Notamacropus eugenii: one gene and its partners. The protein of the gene in region 2 interacts with the protein of the main gene of each other region in a pairwise test. Links are inferred from orthologs where the notes say so. Each region holds a gene or a part of one and is shown on either strand. Other genes may lie near its edges.

Evidence for each region.
Region 1: the proteins of keratin, type I cytoskeletal 40-like (region 2) and FARS2 interact in binary tests that used the Homo sapiens proteins (3 or more experiments, as listed by UniProt). The two-hybrid records come from large-scale screens. The link is inferred for Notamacropus eugenii from reciprocal best matches to the Homo sapiens genes KRT40 and FARS2.
Region 3: the proteins of keratin, type I cytoskeletal 40-like (region 2) and SH2D4A interact in binary tests that used the Homo sapiens proteins (3 or more experiments, as listed by UniProt). The two-hybrid records come from large-scale screens. The link is inferred for Notamacropus eugenii from reciprocal best matches to the Homo sapiens genes KRT40 and SH2D4A.

Annotation. Positions count from the first base shown.
Region 1 is NC_092875.1:175,234,262-175,241,234, forward strand, and holds the start of FARS2 (phenylalanine--tRNA ligase, mitochondrial), read left to right. Parts: upstream 1-3,972; 5' UTR 3,973-4,303; intron 4,304-4,332; exon of another isoform or gene 4,333-4,906; intron 4,907-6,973. Other genes in the region: LYRM4 (LYR motif-containing protein 4), read right to left, coding at 2,397-2,482. UniProt on the Homo sapiens protein: Is responsible for the charging of tRNA(Phe) with phenylalanine in mitochondrial translation.
Region 2 is NC_092873.1:356,891,484-356,899,110, reverse strand, and holds the start of keratin, type I cytoskeletal 40-like, read left to right. Parts: upstream 1-4,618; coding exon 4,619-5,065; intron 5,066-6,014; coding exon 6,015-6,097; intron 6,098-6,606; coding exon 6,607-6,763; intron 6,764-7,627. UniProt on the Homo sapiens protein: May play a role in late hair differentiation.
Region 3 is NC_092872.1:616,684,973-616,692,318, forward strand, and holds the start of SH2D4A (SH2 domain-containing protein 4A), read left to right. Parts: upstream 1-4,345; 5' UTR 4,346-4,642; intron 4,643-4,693; exon of another isoform or gene 4,694-4,911; intron 4,912-5,131; 5' UTR 5,132-5,301; intron 5,302-7,346. UniProt on the Homo sapiens protein: Inhibits estrogen-induced cell proliferation by competing with PLCG for binding to ESR1, blocking the effect of estrogen on PLCG and repressing estrogen-induced proliferation. May play a role in T-cell development and function.

The DNA.
Region 1 (6,973 bases), on a different chromosome or scaffold from region 2:
CTAGAATTCCATCTAACGTTTTCCCAAAGTAGGGTTTTTTGTTTTTTTGTTTTTGTTTTTGTTTTGGCAGAACTGGGATTCAAATTCAAATTTCTTTGCTCTAATTGTAGTGTTTTTTTATACTATACCATGAGGACTCTTGTGGCTAATAATTTTTACCCTAATCTGGGGAAGAATTCAAGTATAGTCTCTAACAATGTCTCAGTCTTCTTCCTATTACAAGTACAGAAAATACCGTTTCCTTGTAACCAGATGGATCTGAGTTAAGTTCTTAGAGGTCAGGAGCACAGACCAGGATGATTCTACCAATTTGCATGCAAGAGTGAGGTATGGGATGTTGGGGTAGGGCTTAGCACACAAGAGGAGGCAATAAGGTTTAGCACCCTCCATTCCAGTCATTCTTTCCTCTAAGATTGTTTTACTGCAGAGGGGTCAAACTCTTAGGGTCACCTGATGTCCTGCAAGATTCCCCAAGTGCTGCCAGAACTAGATCAAAATATAATTGGAAAATGTTTTAAAATATACAAAAATACTACATAATGGTAATTTGTGGCTTTTTATTAAATATGCAACCTGCAGGGATCCATTTCTATTTGAACTTGACACCATACTCCTATGATTTTGCTCATGCCATTTCCTATTACTGAAATATTATCCATGTCCCTCTTTGCCTACTGCATTCTTACTATCTTGAAAAGCCCACCTCAAATCCTACCTCCTCCACTGAGCCTTCAAAGATCTCTCCCAGTGGTAATGACCTTTTCATTGCACCTCAGAACACTGTGTTTTGCATTTGGTAATATACTTCTTGCACATCGCAGTTATCTGTGTTTTTGTATTATCCTTTTCCTAGACTGGAATTTCCTTAAGGGTATTCTCCAAGTCCTACAACAAATAAACCTGCATCTTTCCCTGACATGGTACACAGTAGGTATTTTAATGCTTTCTGAATGAATGAATGCTAGAAGTTACCTTTTACCTTTACACAATGCCTAAATCCTCACTACAACATTCTGCCCAGTGATCGTCCCCCTGCTGCTTGAACACTACCCGTCATAGAAGAACCCGCTACTTCCTGTGAGGGCCTACTTAATTTTTTGTCTAAAATGATTAGGAACCTTTTCTTTACACTAAACTGAAGTTTGCCATTATATCTATGCAATGAAATTACTTCTACCCTCTGGAACCACAAATTACAACCTTCAAAATGTCTGACAGTATCTATCATATCATCAGGTTAAATATCCCCAGTTACTTCAAATAATTTTCTATTAAGATGGTTGAGTCTCATCATCATCCTGGTATACCTATTTCTGTATGAGAGACAACTTAAGTTCTTTTCTAAGAGTTCAGTTCAGAGTTGAATACAATACTCCAAATGTGGTATGAATAGTCTGCTTCTCACTTCCCTCCACTTTTGTTAATGAAACTCTGAAGCACATTAGCTGGTTTGAAAGCTGAGATACCTGAATTTCTAGCATGTCAGAATCATATTACAGGGGGAAAAATCTCCCAAACCATATGGTAGCCAAAACTTGGACTAAGACAGAAAGCTCTATAACAAGTCACTTGGGAGACTACCTCCTCTCTCCCTAGGTGAAGTCCCACATGCAACAGGTTATGCATTAATTTCTTCCCAGGAGCTCTGAAAGCCTGAGCTTTGGCCAAGGGCACAGGAGACCAGAAGGGTCAAAGAGGAGGGGAACACAGTTCAGTCCCTTGCACCTTCCCTTCCTCCTCCTCCTCCTCTTTTTTTCCTCTTTCCTGTTACAATACTTATTTTTGGTTTTTTAAGCAAAATGTCCATCCCTCCTTTAAAGAGAAACTTGTCCTTCCGTTTACACCATTAAGAAGTGTCCCGCACACCTTATTACCGTAAATGACCTCCTGGAGTTGGAGAGCAAAGGAGGTGACACGTGCCCACCACTCTGCCAGTCTTGGGGGGGGGGTGCTAGCCATTACCACTCACTATTATTACTATGAATACGTATCACTAGAACCTCAGTAATCGTGCAGAGAGGGCTTTGTGTCGGCCCGGACCGTCTCCCAGCACACTCCCTGCTGAGGAGCAGCGCACGGCCGGGCCGGGGGGCCGCCTCCCCCCGCAGTTAGACAACCGTATTATCACAGGGTCGGCTTTCTCCGTCACCCCATGTGTTCTGCTTCACGCCTTCCAGAGCTTCGTTCCGGGAAGGGATCCACAGGCTTCACAGGACACAGACCAGCAGGACAGCCGCCTCGCACACCCAGCCCCAGCCCCCCAGGTCCCCGCTCCGGGTAGCCCTCCGGAGCCGGCGTGGGTTCGCGCTGCCCTCCCAGGGGCTGTGGGGGAAGCTGGACGCTCCCAGGCCGCGCGTGCCCCCTCCCCACCTCGGCCCCGGCCCGCCGAGGGTCACCTGTAATTGTAGGAGGTGAACTTGCCGCTCTCTCTCAGCATCACCCGGTACAGATCTAACACTTGTGCCCGACTGGAGGCTGCCATCTTGGGAGGGGGTGGGGCAGAAAACAAACCGGTCCTTTCCCCGGAGGCCCCGCCTGATCCGGAGGGGCGGACTCGAATAAAAACCGGGGCCGAGGAGGCGCGAGCTCCCCTCGGCTCCCGGGCAGGGCCCGCGGGCTGGGCCCGGAGCTCGACACTCCGCTCTCCCCGCTTCTCAGGCGCCAGCCAGGACCCTCCGAGGGCTCTAGAGCTCGAGAAGTTTTGGAAAAAGAAAACAGGCAGCTCCGCGGGCAGCTAAGCGGGGGAGGCGTGGGAGACCAGGAAAGTCAAAACATCGGCGGGCATTCGCAGGTCCCGCCGGGGGCTGGCGGGCAGTTCAGCTGGGAACAAGTTAGGACTGTTTGGCCGGGGCGCCTGCCCTCTCCCTCCGCACCACCCCCTGGTTCTTATTTGCTGTTTGGTCCATTTCAAGTGTACTGATGATGCAGGGCCAGAGAAAATAGGACCGAACCACGGGGTGCGGGGCTAGGGCCGCTGCTCCGTCTGCAGGGTTCAGGCAGGAGAGCAACGGCTTTTCCAGCTTCTAGAGCCGGGAAGAGGAGTTCAGACAGGATGGGTGTGTGTGGGGGTGTAGGAGGCAGAAGTAGGCCCAAGTAAAGTAGGAGGTGCATCACCTTGCTGCAGGCTTCCCTAACTCCTAGTCCCGTTTTCTTAGGTCTTTTCAGATCCCGTCCCTGGGTCTGAATCTGTAGTATGCCCCTGGTGGGACGCAGTTCCTATCACTGGGGTTGAAGATGAAATAGACAGTTCTAATCTCACTACCTGTAGGACATTTGGCAAGCCTGGAGAAAACTCAGAGCAGATAAGATTGATGTTTTCAAGTATCCGAAAGTCTGTCAGATGGAAAAGGGATTACACTTACTTTGTTTTGCCCTACAAGGCAGAATGAGGTGGAAAGCTGCAGAAAGAAAATTCAGAAAATCCCTCCTTCCCTTCCCTCCTCCTTTCCTTTTTTCCTTCGTTCCTTCCTTCTTTCCTTTCTCCTTCCCTTCTTACCTCCTTCCTTCTTCTCTTTCTTTCTTCTTTCCTCCCTACTTCCTTCCTCCCTCCCTCCCTTTCTTCCTCCCCCCTTCCTTTCTTCTTTCTTTCCTCCCTACTTCCTCCCTCCCTCCCCCTTCCTTTCCTCTTTCCTTCCTTCATAATGAGGATTATCCAAAGTGGAATGGTAGAACTCTCCTCTCATAGGAGAGCCTGAGCAATTTAGCGAGGTGGTTGCCTTTTCAGTGAGATTTGGATCTCAGAGACCCGCTCCTACTCAGAATCCTGAGTTATTTCATGTCTTTGGGCTTCAATTGCATCACTTATCAAATGATAGGGCTGACCTGAACGACCTCTTTCAACCATAGATCTATGCTCCTGTGACACTAAGGACCCGTTTTGAAACTTGCCAGTCAGTTGCAACAGGCTGGCCAACCTCACATGCTCCTCTAGTCTGTGGGCTTTTAGCTAGCTAAAGCATTGCCTGTAGTTTTAATACATTCCTACCCAAAGCTGATTGCTCTTTGAGAGTTCAGAGCAGAAAAATGAAGCTCAGGGAGTAGAATGCTGGCAGTACAGGGAGTTGAGGGGTGCCTGGTGAAGCTGCTAGGCGAAGGCTCCTTTATTTATGTTCAGGCACTTTTCAGGACGACTTGTTTAGCGGCTTTTCAGAAAGGCCCCGCGTGAGTTTCAAGATGGCGGCGCCCAGAGTACACGAGAATTAGTTCTTCAGTCACTTCAAGTCCCTTTCCTGAGAGCGAATCTGTGCCCGAATCTCCAGTTGTTGACATTTCCAGCGTCTCCGCAGTTCTGGCAGAGTAGTTGGTGAGTGCGGAGCCGACCTTCTGGAAATGTTGGTGCGGGTTACTAGCGGGAGCTTGAAGTGGGACCTGGACTTTTCTGACCAGGCATTCCCCAGCGTGTGTTGGCGCTTAGCTGAGGAGTCTTGTCGCGTTCGTTTTGTGGGGGAAGTATCAGCAGTAAGATTGGCTTGCAGAAATTCAGCGCCTTAAAAAAAAAGTCTTTATTTTGTAGTTCAGGGAGTCTACGGGAAATTCAGGAACGAGGCAAGAAGTGCGGACGAGCGTTTTCTTGAGGCATTTAGGATGGACAGACCCTCCAGAAATCGCGTGACGCACATTCCTGCCCCTCTTGTCTTTGACTAGTGCCGTGGTACTAGCTTTCGACGCTGGGACGAAATTCTGTCTTTTCCTCCCTCCTGGGAGGCTGGCAGTTTGCAGAGCACTTCACCTGATTTTCAGTGTTACAGGAGTGAAACGTCGCACGACCAAGACTCGGAGGACTGCTTTTATACTCCAGCGCAGGAGGATACTTGTCCTTTCCTTTGTGCTATTCCCCACTCTTCCCCTCTCAGAATCGCATATCGGACACTCTCGGTTTGCTTTTTGAAGACAGTGTTCATGATTGGTATGCATCTTCTGTGTACACTATAGGTATTTTACCTCTTTTTTAAATAATCGATCCGTGTTTTCTGCCATACTTGATCCTTCCCAGTGAATGCCTTTGCACAGTATGTCAGTCTGTGTGGGTTAAGTGCTATAGGTTTGGTGGAATTCTTCATGCAACTTCTCTGTATCAGAACAGATTTTAGCTCGTGAGCTGCATTGATTTTCATGGTGAATTTGTCACGTGCTCATGGTGGTTGCAATATAAGACTGAATGTCAGTTTTTAGAAATCTATAAAAATATTAACTGTGTTTATATAACTCAGGGTGTAATAGTGGGGGGGAGATAAGCATTTTAATAGTGCTTGTTACTGCAGTTGATCCTCACAACCATCCTGATAGCTGACTGCTATTATTATCACCATTCTATGATTGAGGAAATTGATGCTGAGAAAGGGCAAGTGACTTGCTTAGGTTCACAAGCTAGTAAGTGCCTGACCCCAGGCCTAACTATTTACTGCCTGTCTTTCTCTGTGTCTCTATCTCTCTCTCTTCAGTATTTGTATTTTAGATAAAGTGCTCATATAAATCTCATCATCATGAATTGAGAGGTGGTTTTCCCCATTTATTGCCCTCTCCCTGTCTACACAGTTTTTGGCATAAGTCCTGATAGCCAAATTACATATCCAGTACTTTCCTGTTTTGTAACCAACATGTTCTTATTATGTCCATAATGTTTGAAAGACGCTATGCTAGGCCCTGGAGATAGAAATACAAAATGAAAAGCAGTCCCTGACCTCAAGGAGTTTATATTGTTCTTGAGATACCACATTTAAACTCAACAAAATTGTAGATAGAAAAAATCTGAAATTACAAATTTACACAAATGCTTCAGATTGATGTGGAACTGACTCTCTTGAGTTGTTAAGAGCTAAGTCAGCAGAGTATAAGCTCTGGGGTCTTTTACTAGGTTGAAAACATTTTGAGTATTGTCCCAGGTAAAGATTAAATTTATTGTCCAGAAACCACCTATTTAATGGAGAAGTTCATCACTACTAGATTGACCAAAAAATTATTGAATTCTTTGGTCATATTAAAGTATGAATAAAAGACAAATAAAAAAATTCCCCTCATTCTACTTCCACAGTGACATACTGTTAGATCAACCAAACCACATCAATACTGATATTCTTTTAGTAGATGAATCCTGAATATAAAATTAAGTTAGTTGTAAATTGAAGGGGACCTCACAAGTTCTCCTTGGAGAGACAAATTAAGGAACTGATAGATTTATTTGATCAGCTACCCAAAAGCAGCATAAAAAATAATTTCATGGGACACTTGGTATATCTTGTCTTGTAGTTCATGATGAATTTTAGCAAAAAGATTCTATGAAAATAATAACTGACGTCTATCTATTGCAATTAGATTTGAAGGACACTTTACAATATCTTGTTTGATCCTTACGATGACCCTGTGAAGTAGTGACTATTTCCTCATTTTGTAAATGAAAAAACTGAGACATAGAGAGGTTAAATGAGCCTCTTTCCCTTCAGTACCATTTCACATGATGTTTCATTAGCTCCTATGGTTTCTATTATTATCTCTCTGCAGTTGCCTGTCAGATCTACTTGTTCCAATACTGTCTCTCCAAACCTCCAGTTTTACATCTCCAACTGCATTTGCCATCTTGAACTAGATATCTTGTAGACATTTTTAAGTATATCCTAAGCTGAACTCATTTTCTTTCCCCTCAAACCTTCTTCCTGATGTCTATTACTATTGATAGTATCACCATCCTTCCAGTTACCTAGGCTTGAAACCCAGGTGTCATCCTCAGCTCTCACTCCACATATGCTTTTAGTGTTCAAGTTTTGTTCTTTATATTATTTAAAAAATATTTCTCATATTCGCCCCCTTCTCTTCCGTGACCTTGCCACAATCCTGCTGCAGGCCCTCATCACTTCATGCATAGACTATTGCAATAGTTTGCTGGCTGGTCTCTCTGTCCTCCAGTAAATCCTCCACTCATCAAATCAATCTTTCTAAAGTGCAGATTTATGTCACTCTGCTAGTTAGGGAATGCCAG
Region 2 (7,627 bases):
ACCCCAGGCATAGTGCTCTATCCACTGAGTCATCCTAGGTGACTAAAAGGATATTAATTTTTAAACCAGGAGAGAACTAAGAAGTATTGAATACTTATTAGTTCTATGACCCTAGGCAAGTCACTTAACCTTTTTGTAACTCAGTTTTATCATCTGTAAAACAGGACTAGAATTTATAGCCTCTCAGATTCCTTTAATCTCTAAATCAATAATCCTATGAATCCCTAGTTTTACAGATAAGAAAAATGAAAACTAGAGAAATTAAGTGATTTTCTGAAGGTCACATAGATCATAAGAAGCAAAAAGCAGTATTTGTTCTGACTCCAGGATGATTTTTTCTTTAAAAATATTCCAGTATGAACAAAGAATTTTTAGAAAAACAGTAGAATCCTAGTCAGGGAAACTTGTAGTCAAGACATAATTTTAAAGATGAGGGTTTATCAAGTCAATAAGTATTTATTAAGTGCTTATCATATGCCATGCACTGCACTGAACTCTGCAAATGCAAATATAAGCAGAAAGAAAGATAATGCCTGATTTCAAGGAACTTACACCTTTTTTTTTTTAACTTACATCTCCTTAATTTTACTTTTGTGACTTTAAAATTAAGCACCTGGATTCTAATCATCCACGTTTTTTTATAAAGATAAACCTTGTTATTGTTCATTGAGTTATTTGTTTGTTTGTTTTTTCTTGAGTCATAACTAGGAATTCTTGAACTTTGTCCAATTCAGCTGAGATGGTGGAAGAGGACGATTAACTTGGGTGGGCTGCAGTTGTGATGATCCATCTCTTTACAAATCCAATCATATCCCCTACCCCCTGAAATTTCAGCAAGACATGGCAGGGGGCGGGTAGCAGGCATAGTAGTGTGAGAGTGGAGGAAGTCAAGCCTTAAGAGAGAATGCTAAGACCACAGAACCTCGGCAGGAGGGAAGGGGAAGGAGGGGGCAGTTCATGAGGAAGCGAGAATAGTCAGACATCATGGTGTAGAATGGTAGAGGACTACTAGTTACGGGATAATAAACCTTTAGATGTTCTTTACCTGAGACAAAGTTCAAGCTGCCTTACCCTAGTTACAACTTTGCTTTTTACCCTCAAAGGTAATGATGGATATTACATGCATGTTTTTAATGGATGCAAAATCAAACAGAAAATCAGCAAGGTTATGTCACAAGCCTCTCAGTCACTGTGCAGAAGATTTTATGTGACAACTACTAGACATGGTCTCCAGTTGCAGAATTTCTTCTTCATAGTCAAAACTGCCAGTTCTACATTTTAATAAAATGGAGTGAAAAATATTAGAATCCTCTCTTGCTGACTAAAAAATCCTCTCAGATAAGAAGGAAGAGAATTCAGAAGACTGTATCCATGCTTAAGATAAATGTGTCTAAAATAGGGCTAGAATTAGATGCCCTCTAAAAAGGCTTCCAATTCTTCAGAGTCTATGACCTACCTAAGAGCAGTAGGCAAAGGATTTTCCAGTCCTTGGCATATAGTAGATGCTTAATAGATGCTTCTTTGATTCCTTGATTGATTTCTGATCCTAGAACAGTAAGGAAGGTACTTATTTGACACTGGAATTTCAATTTTTTTTCCAAAGAATGTGCCTTATCCCTAAGATCAGTAGCAATTAGAATCTTTAAAGGCCCTGGGTGTCCTTATCCTAATTCCCACTTGCATTGATCAGTCCCATTTACAGAGGACTGACTGTCTCCTTCTTGGGGTTCTAGGAGGTCCCCCAAGGGACAGGAGATCCCAGGTACTCCTCAAGGCCTTGCTGGTGGACCAGTCTCAACTATTTACAAACTCCGGCATTGACCCCAGGTCCTGGACCTCTAGAAGCTCACAAGGTTATAGTCTAGTAGGAAAGAATTGACACAACAGGGAACCCAAGTTCACAAAGTAAGCCATTAACCCTAGTTCTCTCTGTTTCTCTACCTGGAAGCTTACAGCAATGCTTGCCTCCTCACTCATAAGAATCTGGGCAGGAGAGGGAAGGAGACAGAGAGAAACAGAAAAAAGGAGGGAAGGAGAGAGATGGGACAGAGACAGAGTGATAGAGAGGGAGAGAGACAGAAACCGAGACAGAGGAAGTGAATGGGGCAGAAACAGAGAAAAATCGATAGAGAGGGAGAAAGGGAAAGAAAGAAAGAGAAATAGAGAGATTGGGAGGGAGAAACAGAGAGATAGAGAGGGGAGAGAGATAGAGACAGAGAAATAGAAACAGAGAGGAGGGGAAAAGATGAGATAGAGACAAAGAGAGATTGATAGAGAGGGTGACAGATCAACAGAAAGAGGAGAGACAGAGACAGAGAGAGAGAAAAGACAGAGACAGTGGAGAGACAGGAGAGAGATATAGACATAGACAAAGAGAATGTATATTTGTATGTGTGAGAGAAAGAAAGAGGTTCATTTTGACAAGTTATTAACTTTTGGATGTGTACTAACTTATGGCTCAGCACATAACCAAAACTCTGTGTGTATGTGTGTGTGTGTGTGTGTGTGTGTGTGTGTGTGTGTGTGTGTGTGTTTACCATATATTAAGCAGACTGGAAATAGTCAGAGAACACCTAAGCACATTCTAGAGTGGCAAGCTGAGTGCCTCCATTTTATTTCATCACAGGATCCCCAAGCAATTGTGGGGGTGCAATAAGCAGAGTGATATACAAGCTTAAAAGGCAGAACTTCCACTGGCCTTTTCTGTCCCCTTCACACCCCCTGCATTACATAATGTTTATTCCCATTTTGTCGGTATCCAAAGTGGGCCCTAGCCAATGGAGTTATGTAAATACCAGAAAACAGATTCAGCCATAATAGCTCTGATGGCATTATGGAATAGTTTCATCATAACAAAATCCTGCTTGAGTTCAAAAGGCTCTCAAAAAAGGAATTCATTTTCTGAACTGATTCAGAAATAAATCAACAAACATGAAATGTCTTTTGTGTTCAAAATTCTAGGAAATCAAAGACAAAAAAAAAAAAAGCATGGGGTCCCCTGCCCTGCTCCATAATAAAGAACATCAGAATGAGGCCACAGTGTGATACAGAGGTGATTCTAATTCAGATGCAGATTAGACCGAATCAAGGGGTGGGGAACCTGAGGCCTTGATTCTAGGTGTGGCTCTCTAGGTCCTCATGTGCAGCCCTTGTCTGACCAAATGGTCTTTGAGGACTCTCCCAACTCTGATATCCTTTGATTTTGTGAGACAATGGGAATGTGGAGAATTAAAGCAAAATGCTTAGTCTGGGCAAATCAGCAGACTAAAGTAAAATTCCTGACCATCTGTTTGTGCCACGACTTGTATTGAAAGTGACCTGTCAGCAACCTAGGAAGTATCCATCCACGACGCAATTTGACCTTCCAGATCAAACACAGAGTGTGATAGGCCAATCTCACAAAGAGATGCTTCCTAAGCCAAGCACACCTCAGCACACCTCATTCCTTAAGCATGTCTGCTCTTCCCCGAGGATGGGAGGCTATTAAAAGGATTTCTACTCACATTAAAATTTATTTTATAGTTGACAGATGGGAAGACTCAGCAAAAATGATAATAATCTGGAAGATTCTTCTGCAAATCTTCATCAACATGCATGTTTGTCATTTCATTGTCGTTTAAGACAGACACAGAAGATTGTAGTGTATACAACCATGTCCTCCATCTCCTATTTGTAAGAAATTAGAGCCCCTGATTGTTTGCTGACCAAGGTTTTTCTCTTCCTTTCCCACATTTTTGAAGCTTTAATCCCTGGAATTCCTAGCGTGATTATCTATAACAAGCATGTCATTCATTCAGGCATTCATTCATCAATTAACAAGCATTTATTAAGTGACCACTATATGCCAAGCATGGTCTAGCAATACAAAAACAAAAAACAAAACAAAAATAATCAAGAAGATTATATTGAAGGGGAGGAGGGGAGTGGGGAGAAATATGTACATAGAAAAGTGAATATGAAGAAAGTTAATATCAGGAGAAGAGGGTACTGAAGGTGGTAAGGATCAGGAAAGGTCTCATGGAGGTGGCACACTAGCTATAAGGGGAACTATGTACAAAGACACGGCAATGGGAGCTGGAGTGGCTTATTTGGAGAGCACCAGGCTGGCCAAATTTATCTGGAGGATAGAATAAATGAAAGGGAGTAATATGCAAATAAGCCTGGAAAGGTAGACTGGAGCAAGATTTTTCAGAACCTTAAATACCAGGATAAATATTTTGTATTTTATTCTAAATAAAATAATGAATTTTTGCTTCCAAAACTTTCTAGTTCAAATCTAGATGTCAATGACATACACCTCAGTATAAAACACTTTTTTTTCACATATCTAAGAGCTTGATTTTATTGTCCTACTGTCACATGGACTCTCTGATAGGTTTTATTAAAGCAACATGAACTTGACCTTGTTAATGAGACAAGGAACTCTTCCATTGTAAATACACAACAGACTAATGAAACGTTCTTTTGAAAACTAGCATAAACAGGGCTTAAGCAAACATCCTGAGCATTCTGTCAACAGCCCTGGAGAGGCTCTATAAAAATCCCAATGAGGAAGGAAAAGACTAAGTGTGGGTACCTTGAGTCTAGCAGACAATCCTTGCCCTTCCCTTCCGATACTATGACTTCTGAATGTGCCCCCAAAAGTGATACTCCTGAGTCCTGTTCAGAGGCATCAGACTGTCCCTCTGTTTCAACCTGTTCTACTGAGATTCCCTGTCTCCCCAGTACTGGGGTAGCATCCAGATGCCAAACCCCAACCTTCATCGCCAGGTCCTGTCGGCCCACAAGTCGCCTACCAACTTGCTACATACCTGGGAGCTGTAGCAGCCCTTACTTTGTGGGTAGCTGTGGTTGGTGTGAGGAAGGAGCCTTCAACTGCAATGAGAAGGAGACCATGCAATTTCTGAATGATCGCCTGGCCTGCTACCTGGAGAGGGTTCGAGGCCTGGAGCAAGAGAATGAAGCTCTGGAGTGCAAAATCCGTGAGCAGTGTGAACTAGAAGTCCCTCTCGTGTGTCCAGACTACCAGTGTTACTTCAACACAATTGAAAATCTCCAACAAAAGGTCTGTTAGCCAATTCTTCTTCCCTAGCCCTTGCCCCCCATCTTACTGGATATGGTGATGTATTATGGGACCACTGTATTAATGGAAAGAGATGAGGATGGTGTGGAAGAGAGTTATAAAAATATTACCTAAAAGTGAAATCTGGAATATTATTAGTATATTGTACGGAAGATCAAACAAGGTAATAAGGTAAAGAGCTTTGCAAACTTTAAAGTGCTATGTACATTATACTACGATTATTACTGTTACTACTGCTACTTAGAATCTTGGACTTGACCTCAGGAAAACCTGAGTTAATTGCCCACCTCAGACACTTAACTAGCTATGTGACCCTTGGTAAATCAATTAACTCCTCTGTGCCTCAGTTTCCTCATCTGTAAAATGAGAGGGTTGCACTTGATAGCCTCTTAAGGCTTATTCTTGCTCTAAATTTAGGATTCTATGAATAGAATTTCTTTTTTCTCAGAGGTATAAAATTTACAGTCATGGAAATTATGAAAGAATGCCATTCTTTTAAGATTTAGCTATTAATTTTTAAAATCCTTTCTAGAAAGAAAAATAACCTATGTTTTACTGCTGTTGGGTTATTATAATGAGACAATGGGTTTGTTGTACAAATATAGCAAAGTAGTTAAGTAAATGAAATGTTTTCTACCTCCTTAGTTGGTCTCCAAATTCTCAGTTCTTTCTTTTTTGAGAGAGAATAAAGTGAATTTAAAAACAGAAATAAATGTGAAGAAATACAATCTCCTGGCTTTTTTTTTATATTTAAGTGATTTTGGAGGGGAGGGACATGATATAATTATCCAAAAACACTCAAACAGCCACATCCCTTCCCCTCCTTCCATATATATCACCCCGCCCCTACAAAATATCTGATGGTTTTTAAAAGAATGGATGTTAGAACTCTTTTCAGATCCTTTCTACTATTTCATCTCTTGTTTTTCAGATCTTGTGTACCAAGGCAGAGAATTCTAGATTAACTGTTCAGATTGACAACTTCAAATTGGCAGCGGATGACTTTAGATCAAAGTAAGTCTGGTGACATGGGACAGGGAAGGGGAAAGGAGGGAATAAGCATTTATAGAACACCTAGGATGTGCCAGGAACTGTGCTCAGTACTTCCCAAATATATTATTTCCTTCAGTCCTCACAATAGTCCTCCCAGGTAGGGTTTTTATCCCATTTTACAGTTGAGGAAACTGATGCAAACAGAGGGTTTTTTGTGACTTTGTTAAGTGCCTTGCCCAGGGTCATGAAGCTAGGAAGGGTCTGAAGTTGTCCAGGCCCAGATACCTGGGTCTGCCTGCACAGAAGACCAGCATAGATAAAGGCCAGCCTTGAAGTCAGGAGAATCTATTCTACCTCTGACATATATTAGATGTGTATCTATGTGCTAAGTTACCCAAACCCTGATTCCACATTTGGAGTCATAGGATTTCAGTCCTATCTCTGCCCCCTTACCTTTGTGCTTTTGACTAGGTCACATCATGAAGAAAAAAAAAACAAAATGAAATTAAGTTTCTCTCTTGTGATTAAAGGTATGAGACTGAACTGTCTTTTCGCCAGCTAGTAGAGGCTGACATCAGTGGTCTCCAAAAAATCTTAGATGATTTGACCCTATGCAAACGTGACCTAGAGGCACACGTGGAATCTTTGAAGGAGGATCTGCTCTGTCTCAGGAAAAATCATGATGAAGTAAGGAGACTGATGGGGGAAGGGAGAGGGGAGGAGGAGGAGGGGCAGGCCAAGTGGAACTAGTGGCCAAACTAAAGTGATGAATTTCGTGTCACAAAATATATGATGAGCACACACAGAAACTAACTGATAAAAGTAAAATGAGGCAAGCACTTTAAATATCCAGCTAAATCCTGCCATTTCATTTCTGTGGCTATAATGATAACACCCTGTGTAGACCCAGAGGGGTCATAACACGACTGGCCATGGCTACTTCTCTCTCTAGTAACAAGCATTTACATATGGTTCTAATGTTTGCCAAGTGTTTTACAAATATTATCTCAGCTGATCCTCACAACAGATACTATTATTATCCCTGTTTTATAGTTGGGGAAACTGAGGCTCGGAGAGTTTTTTTATGACTTGTTTATGGTCATTCAAGTATTGGAGACAAGATATGAACTCAGATGTTCCCTTAATTCAAGGCCAGCCTTTATCTTCTATTCTGGACTTGAATCAAGATTCTAATTCTACTTCAGACAAATTATAGCTGTGTGACTCTGGGCAAGCCATGTAACCACTCTGGCCTCAGTTTCCTCCTCAATAAAATAGGGATAATAATATTACCTACCTTTCAGGGCTGTCATGCAGATCAACTGAGATAATGCTGAAGGAGTGCTTTAAAAACTTCGAAGTAGTTTATAAATTTGAATTATTATCAAGGAATCATTTTTCCCATCCTACTTGATGGAATTAAGATAGTGAAATCTGGAATTACTACAGCGTGAAAGAAAATCACATATTTCTGAACACCTGGAAGAGGAAATTTAATTTTGTAATAAGACATGGTGCATATTTAGCACCAGCAGCTATCTTAATTACAAG
Region 3 (7,346 bases), on a different chromosome or scaffold from region 2:
TCTTTTTATCCCCAGTATTTATCACAGTGCCAGACACATAAGCGATTAATAGGTGTTTAATAAAGAATTATTGATTAACTGATTTGAGCTTGATGCAAGGGAAAACTTCCTAACAATCCAAGCCATATAGAAGTGGGATGGGTTGCTCTGAGAGGGAGTCAGTTTCTCCTCATTAGCAATCTTTCCACTGAGGCTGGATGATGAAATGAAATATTTTTGTATTCCAAATTTGCATTGGCTCAGTTGCTAGTTAGTATTTGTGCCAATCTTAATCATATGTGTAACTGAATTCAATGTGAATGTAATTTTTGATTACATGAAAGAGCCTTACAATAGTAGGTTCAAAATCCAAGCTCTAATTATCAATCAGTAAACATGTATTAAATGCCTACTATATGACAGGCATTGGGCTAGGTACTAGGGATTCCAAAGCAAATAGGAAATAATCCCTGTCCTCAAGGACCTTAAATTTTATTAGGGGAGGCAAGAAGTCTATAAATAAGAAAATATAAAATATATTCAAAACAAATAAAAGGTGGAGAAAGGGAATAAGCATTTATGTGGCGCCTATCATATACCAGGTACTGTGCTGTGTTTATAAATATTATTTACTTCTCACAAAAACCCAGGCAGGCAGGTGCTATTACGTATCCTCATTTTATAGTTGAGAAAACTGAGGCAAGTAGAGTTTAGGTCACACAGCTAGTAAGACTGAGGCTGGATTTGAAGGCTTCCTGACTTCTGGTCCGTCCACACGGCCACTAGTTGTCCCCAATACAAGCTAACACAAAAAATTATGGAAAGAAGGGTACTAGGACCGTGAGGAATCTGGAAAGTCTTCATGAGTCTTAAAAGAAACAAAGGCTTATAAGAGATAGGGGGTGGAGGAATGGGGGTAGGGAAGCAGAGATATCTTGGGCCAAGGCGCTGAAAGAGGAGGGTATCTTGAGATGAGAAGGAGCAAGAAGGAAAATCTAGCAGAAGTTTTGAATGTAGGAAAGGAAGAGAGTGATGGTTAATAAGGCTGGAAAATAGGTTGTTTATTTTATGCAAAATTGAATGAAATGATTCACTGGTCTTTTCAAGATGCCTTAAAAGCTTTCAGTATAGAAAGATAAAGGTTAAGGTGGTTTTTCCATGGTGTTCATAAATACAAATACATGGAATTTGAATTGTCTTCTTTTGGATATTGGAGGTACAGTCAACAAATATTTATTAAATATCTACTGTTTGACACGATGGGGCAGCTAGGTGGCACAGTGGAGAGGTTGGGCCTGGAGTCAGGATGACCTGAGTTCAAATCCAGTCTCAGATACTTACTAGCTGCATGACGCTAGGCAAGTCACTTAACTATTTGTCTCAGTTTCCTTATCTGTAAAATAAGCTGGAGAAGGAAATGGCAAACCACTCCAATATCTTTGCCCAGAAAAACCAAAAAGGGGTCACAAAGAGTCAGAACAACAATAACAATCTCCAGACACCATGCTAAGCACTGGGTAAAGAAGACCACCAAGCAATGGAAGCCCAACTATGACTCTCCTTTCTCCTTTTCTGATCCCCAAAGGCTAAGTGCCTAGAAACTCTCTACTATAGAGCTTAATACACCATTTCAGATTTTTCTCCCATTTTCCTATTTCCCCATCAAGAGTGGGGAGATTTTTTTCAATCTAGGGCCATTGAGTGGAGGCTTATATTGGTTAGGGTGGAGGGTACACAGAAACAATTGAAGGTCACACAAAAGACAACCTTATTTAGTTTTATTTTTTCTCAGAGCAATACAAGAGCTTCAAAATCACTTATTTTTAAAAATTGCAAAAAGAGGTTCATGGATTACTTCTACCCACTCAAAAGTGGATTACCTTTGTTAGATAGGATCACTTCTCAACTGGCAGATTCAATTAGAACTAGATATGAGCAAGACCTAGACATCCTCTTAAAGACAATAGATGATGTCTCAATTAGGTGCAAAGAAAATCTGTGCTGAGTCGGTGAAGGACTTGGCCATGCCAAGGAGCTTGTATAAATGCAGGAGAGAGTTCAGCTCTTCAAACGTCATAAGTCTGAGAGAGTAGAGGGAGTTGAAACATCAAGAACTGAGCTGGAAAGAATCGACAGCAAAGGGGCAACATGCAAAAGAAGAAAGAAAGTTGGCAGAGAAGAGAGAGATAGAGGAGGGCCTTTGGCCCTTTAGGATCTCAGAGTGCAAAACTTGGACTGATGCCATCAGTTTTACCTTCCTTCTCAAAGATCCAAAGTTCTAAAAAGAGGTCAGTTCTTTCCCCAACTTCCCCTTCTGGTATTTGTCTATTAATAGACACTGTCAAATGTTAAAAACATTTTTGCTTACATGTAACTGAGGGAAAAAATTAAATGTAAATTTAAAGAGGACACTGTAATATAACTCCTTTTCTTCTTTACATAAATGTTTCGAATAACATGAATTTCATCTCAACCACAAAGAGGTCAGGGGTTAGCTAGAGATAAACCTAATTATAAATTAAGGCAGAGAGCCAATCCTCTGCTGGGGATTTGGAGTCATTATACTCCTAACTTTTTGTTTTAATTCCCTAAAGCAACAGAGGAAGGAACCATATGAACCTAAGGACAACTGTATTACCCCTAGCCTTAAAATAAGCTACTTATTGTAGCAAGGTATTACACACATATAAAACTTTAAAAAAAAGCCAACAACCACACAGCCAATGCCATAGTTATGTCTAGTTAAGAAAGCATTGCAGGGAATAGGGGAAATGAAACAGAAAGGAGAGATGAGAGATGATAAGGTGGTGGGAAGAGAGAAAAGAGGCAAGAAAGGGGGGAAGGAGAGAGACGAAGGGGGAGAGAGAGATACGGGAAGAAAGGGAAGGCAGGAAGAGAAAAAGAGAAGGACTTAAAAAGTTCTGAAGTAAATTGCTTACAATTCAGTTTGACAGTTGGGTTTTAGTGGTTTTTCATTGGACAGCTTTGTAGTATGCAAAGTTGTATAAGACAATCCTTGCAATCAAGACGTCTAAAAAGTATTTTTTCAATCTAGGGCCATTGAGTGGCCCTAAACACACACAAATACCTTCAGTTCAAGGCAGCATGTGAAAAGTAAATCAGTTTGGCTGGATTTTAGACTCCATTAAGGAGAGTGATGAATGAAGAGCAGGTTTGAGTAAAGCTGTGAAGTACTTTAAAAGCCAAACAGGAATTTGTAGCTATCCTAGAACCACAGGAACCACTGGAGTTTAGTGAGCTGGGGAATAACGAAGTAGGTGCTTACATACATGAGGATCACAGGTCTAGAGCTGGACCTCAGGAACAATATAGTTGAACTTCCTCATTTAACAGATGAGGAAACCAAGGCCTAGAGAAGGTAGGAGATTTGTTCAAGGTCATACAGGTCATGCGGCATTTGAATCCAGGCCCTCTGGATTTACAGGCAGTGTTATTATCTTAAGTTAAGGTTTGAGGGATTGGACTGCATAGTGATAATATTATGCATTCCCATCATTGGATGAGTACTATTCAGACAACAGACATTGATGCTTTCAGTAAGAATTGATCTAGATCCCTCTGCTGTCCCTTTCCATTCTGAGATCCTAGAATTTTGATTCTATAATGTGTTGTTCATTAGTTGAACAAAATATAAGGAAATGAAATGAAATATTTTCCCAAATGTTTTCATTTTTCTTCACATTCCATCCTTTCTGGGTTTTTTATTTTTTTCTCCTCTAAATTCTAAGCCTGTCTTTTAATGTCATACCTTTATGGCTTTTGATAATGGAGAACTGTAAATTAAAGGGCAGACTAAAAGCAAATAGTCAACATTTAGGACACAGAGTAGAACTGAAGAGAGTGACCTGATTTTAAATGCCTTCTGAATGAGTCAAAGCTCAGAAAGGTCCTGTTTCAGCCACTACCCTTAACAGCACTTAGACGTTAAGCTGTAAAGTTTGCAAAGTGTATTTGATCTTCACAACCACTCACTGAAGCAGGTGCTATCACCCCCATTTTACAAGAGAGGAAACTGAGACTGAGAGAGGTTAAGCGACTTGTTTAGAGCCACATATCTGGAACAGAATTTGAACTGTCTTCCTGCCTCCCAAGTCCCGAACTCTATCCTCTGCACCACTGTTCCTAACTTTCATGGAGGTCTGGAATGGATGAAGGACTACCCCAGATAAAAATAAGTGTCTTAGGTACTGAAAAATAGTAAGGGAAGTAACCACATCAGAGAGTCGTAAAGGAGTGACTGTGAGAGGACCTCCCTTAAATTGCTAGTTTTGGAAGCAAGGGAAAGGTTCTCCTTGCTCCTTTCAGACCCAAATCCCCGGGGTTGCCCCTTTGGAGTCAGCGTCCATGCAGTCAGATACTTGGGGCTCAGCAGCGCAGAGGCGCCTGGTGCCTGCGCGAGCAGTTTGGGACTTTGCAAGAGGCAGGGGTGGGGCTGCGAGCTCCAAGTCATCTGGGTGTGTGGGACCCGTCCGGGGAGGCGCACGCAGGGACAGGGTTTTGCTCCTTCAGCTTTCGGACTTTAATAACATCGTTCCTGCCAAATTCTGCTGCCGCCGGCACCGGTCTCTCCCCCTCTCCCAAATTCGTCATTCCTCTGACAGCCCAAACTGAAAGACAGAGGTGCTTGGGTCGCCCTGTGCAGGTGAGTTCGGGATTACAGGTGGAGCCGGGGGTGGAGAGAGTTAGAGGGGACTGGAGAGGAGAGTGAAGTAACCCGGGGAAAGCTGCCGTGGGGTGGCACGCAATGGAGTGTTCTTGGGAGTGAAACGAAAAGTTCTGTGCTTGTGGCTGGGGGAGGGGGCATGAAGTCGGAAGAAAAGGCTGCCTAGGACTTGAGGCTGAGGACAGGAAGCGGGCTTAGTTTCCTGCCTTTGGCAGAGATCCAGGCAGGACCTGGTGAGGTGAGGCGAGGTGAGAGGGCAGTGTGGATGGGACAAGTCTGGATCAAGCGCTAACCACCCCTCCCCCTCTTCTGCACCTCCACCCCCGGTTCCATCCCCTTCCTCCCCTCCCCCAGGCGCTGGCACTAGGAGTAGCTCAGGTGTGTGGGGAAGGCTGGGGGCAGGATGGGGCTGGCGCACAGGTGTCCGATGTCTGGTATTTGGTGTCTGGTGTCCGCCGCCGCGGGCAGGCAGGCTTTGTGAGCCACAGGTCCTGATGGATGGCGGGGAGAGGAGGCGGGGAGTGCCGGGTAGCGCCTGCCGGAGGTGGAGTGGAAGCCGGGAGGCGAAGGTTGGAGGGGACTTCTGAAGCATTCCGGGGATCCAGCCTACAAGGGTGGCGCTGCGTGACCAAGCCTGGGTCAGTGCTCGTGCGTGCGTGTGTGTGTGTGTGCATGCTCATGTGCCAGGAGCCAGCGCTGCTTCAAGCTGGCGCAACTGTTCCCGGGACAACCGGGAAAGAACCTGTGGAGTCAGAAAATCACTGGGCTGTGGCGGAGAGAAGCAGCCTGGACACCCCCCTGGGGCCAGGCATCCGGACTCGCACCCGGGCTCCCAGAGGCGCACCTGTATACGCCTGTGGCTCACGGGAACGCGCACACTCACATTCATTCACTTTTTGGGCACAAGATCTCAACAGCCTCTTACCCCACCCCCTAGGCGGCCAAAAGCACACTTACGGAGCCCTGCTCCATACTAGCGGCATGGTGGATTTGCAGCCCTGGGAAGCTGGGTTATGGGTTCGAATTCTACCGGTTGATAAGTCAATTTTTCACTTGTGTGAAGTTGACCAAGTCCCTTTTTCTCTCTGAAGGACCTCAGTTGCCTGATCTGTAAAATGAGATTTAGGACTAGATAATCTGTAAAGATCTTTTCCATCTCTAAATCCTTTAACGCCTGCGCTTCGGGCACTTTTCCTGGTGCCTTTTGGATCACTTTTAGAGAGGTCTCCAAGCTCCACAAGCTTGAAGCACTCCTTCAAGAGCCAGCCCTTTGCTGTGCCCCAGTGCTTTGGCACCGAGTGTGCTCAGCAGCCCAGCGTGGGCGGCCTAGGGGGGAGAACTTGTGCTTGTTGATGGGCGGCTGGCTGACTGGGCCGGCTGGGTCGTGGGCGGTGTCCTCAGGCCTGGAGCCAAGTCCCTTGGTAGCTAGTGTTGTGGACAGAATGCCCAGCAAAGCCGGTGGCCCCAGGCAGGCAGCTTGAGGCCTTTCCTAACCCCGAGAGCTGGCGGGGAGGTCACCGGCCAGGTACGCTGGGGAAGAGGCCACTTGCTCTAGAGGATTGCTCTGAGAGGTTATATAGGTCTTACCTGGAGGCAGCCAGTATATGTCCGAGGGGGGATCTGAACCCAGGTCCTCCCAAGTCCTTGGATGGCTGCCCATCCATAAGCTGGGCTGCCTCCATTTAAAGTTTGTACTTTCCTCACAACAGTCAAGTAGGTCTCAGTGTTACACGTGAAAACTTGTATTACAAAGGGGTGTGTTATAAAGCACATATGAAGAAAGGCGTATCTGCATCCAGAGAAAGAACTGATAAATAGAAACATGTATAAAATAATTATGTATGTGTGTATCCATGTATGTATATATGTGTGTATATATATTATATACATATAGATATACACATACATACACCTATTTGTGTCTAATGGTAGCCATGGAGGGGGAAAAAAGGGAAACAAACGCATTTAATATGAATTTTGTTGTATATTTGAAAGGAACAGCAAGTGGTATATAGTATATTTGTAGTTTCATGTGCAATCATCTTTTTTATTGTCCCGTGTTGTGGAAATTCTTGTTTTATTCCATAAATTAAAAATAAAATACATTTTTTAAAAACAACACCAAAAAGAAAAAAAAAGAGGAAAGAGTTGCTTGGGGAAAGAAGGAAGCAAATAAGTTGTATGTAATAGACATGCAGTTTCAGGTACAATCCTTATTTCTTGCCTGTGGAAATGTTTGTGGGTATCTGTCAAATGCAGAATAACAGAAATTTAAAATCCTGAAAGAGAGAGAAAAGGGGGGAGAGAAGGATTTGAATTAATTTGATTTGGTGCCTGGTCTATGAATTGACCCTAACCCTTGAAAAGTCCTGAGAGTGTCTGAGTGTGGGTAATCTACTTTCTTTATGAATTAGCAAGGTCAGGGGTTTAGGATGGTTAGGCTGCAGACACAACGGCCTCTGTTGACTGTATTTGAAGTATTTCTATCTTGTTATGATCTGCCAAAGCTTAAGGTACATGACTGTGGCATTCTAGGGCCCAGGGTCACCTTCCACCCCTTACTGGAAGCCTTGGCAGAGTACTTCAGTGGATCAGGAAATCAGTGGGGAAAAACCCTTGTTAATCACAGGTCTGTTTCCTTACTTTTAAGCTTCTCTCCTCATCTTAAATATTTGGTATATAC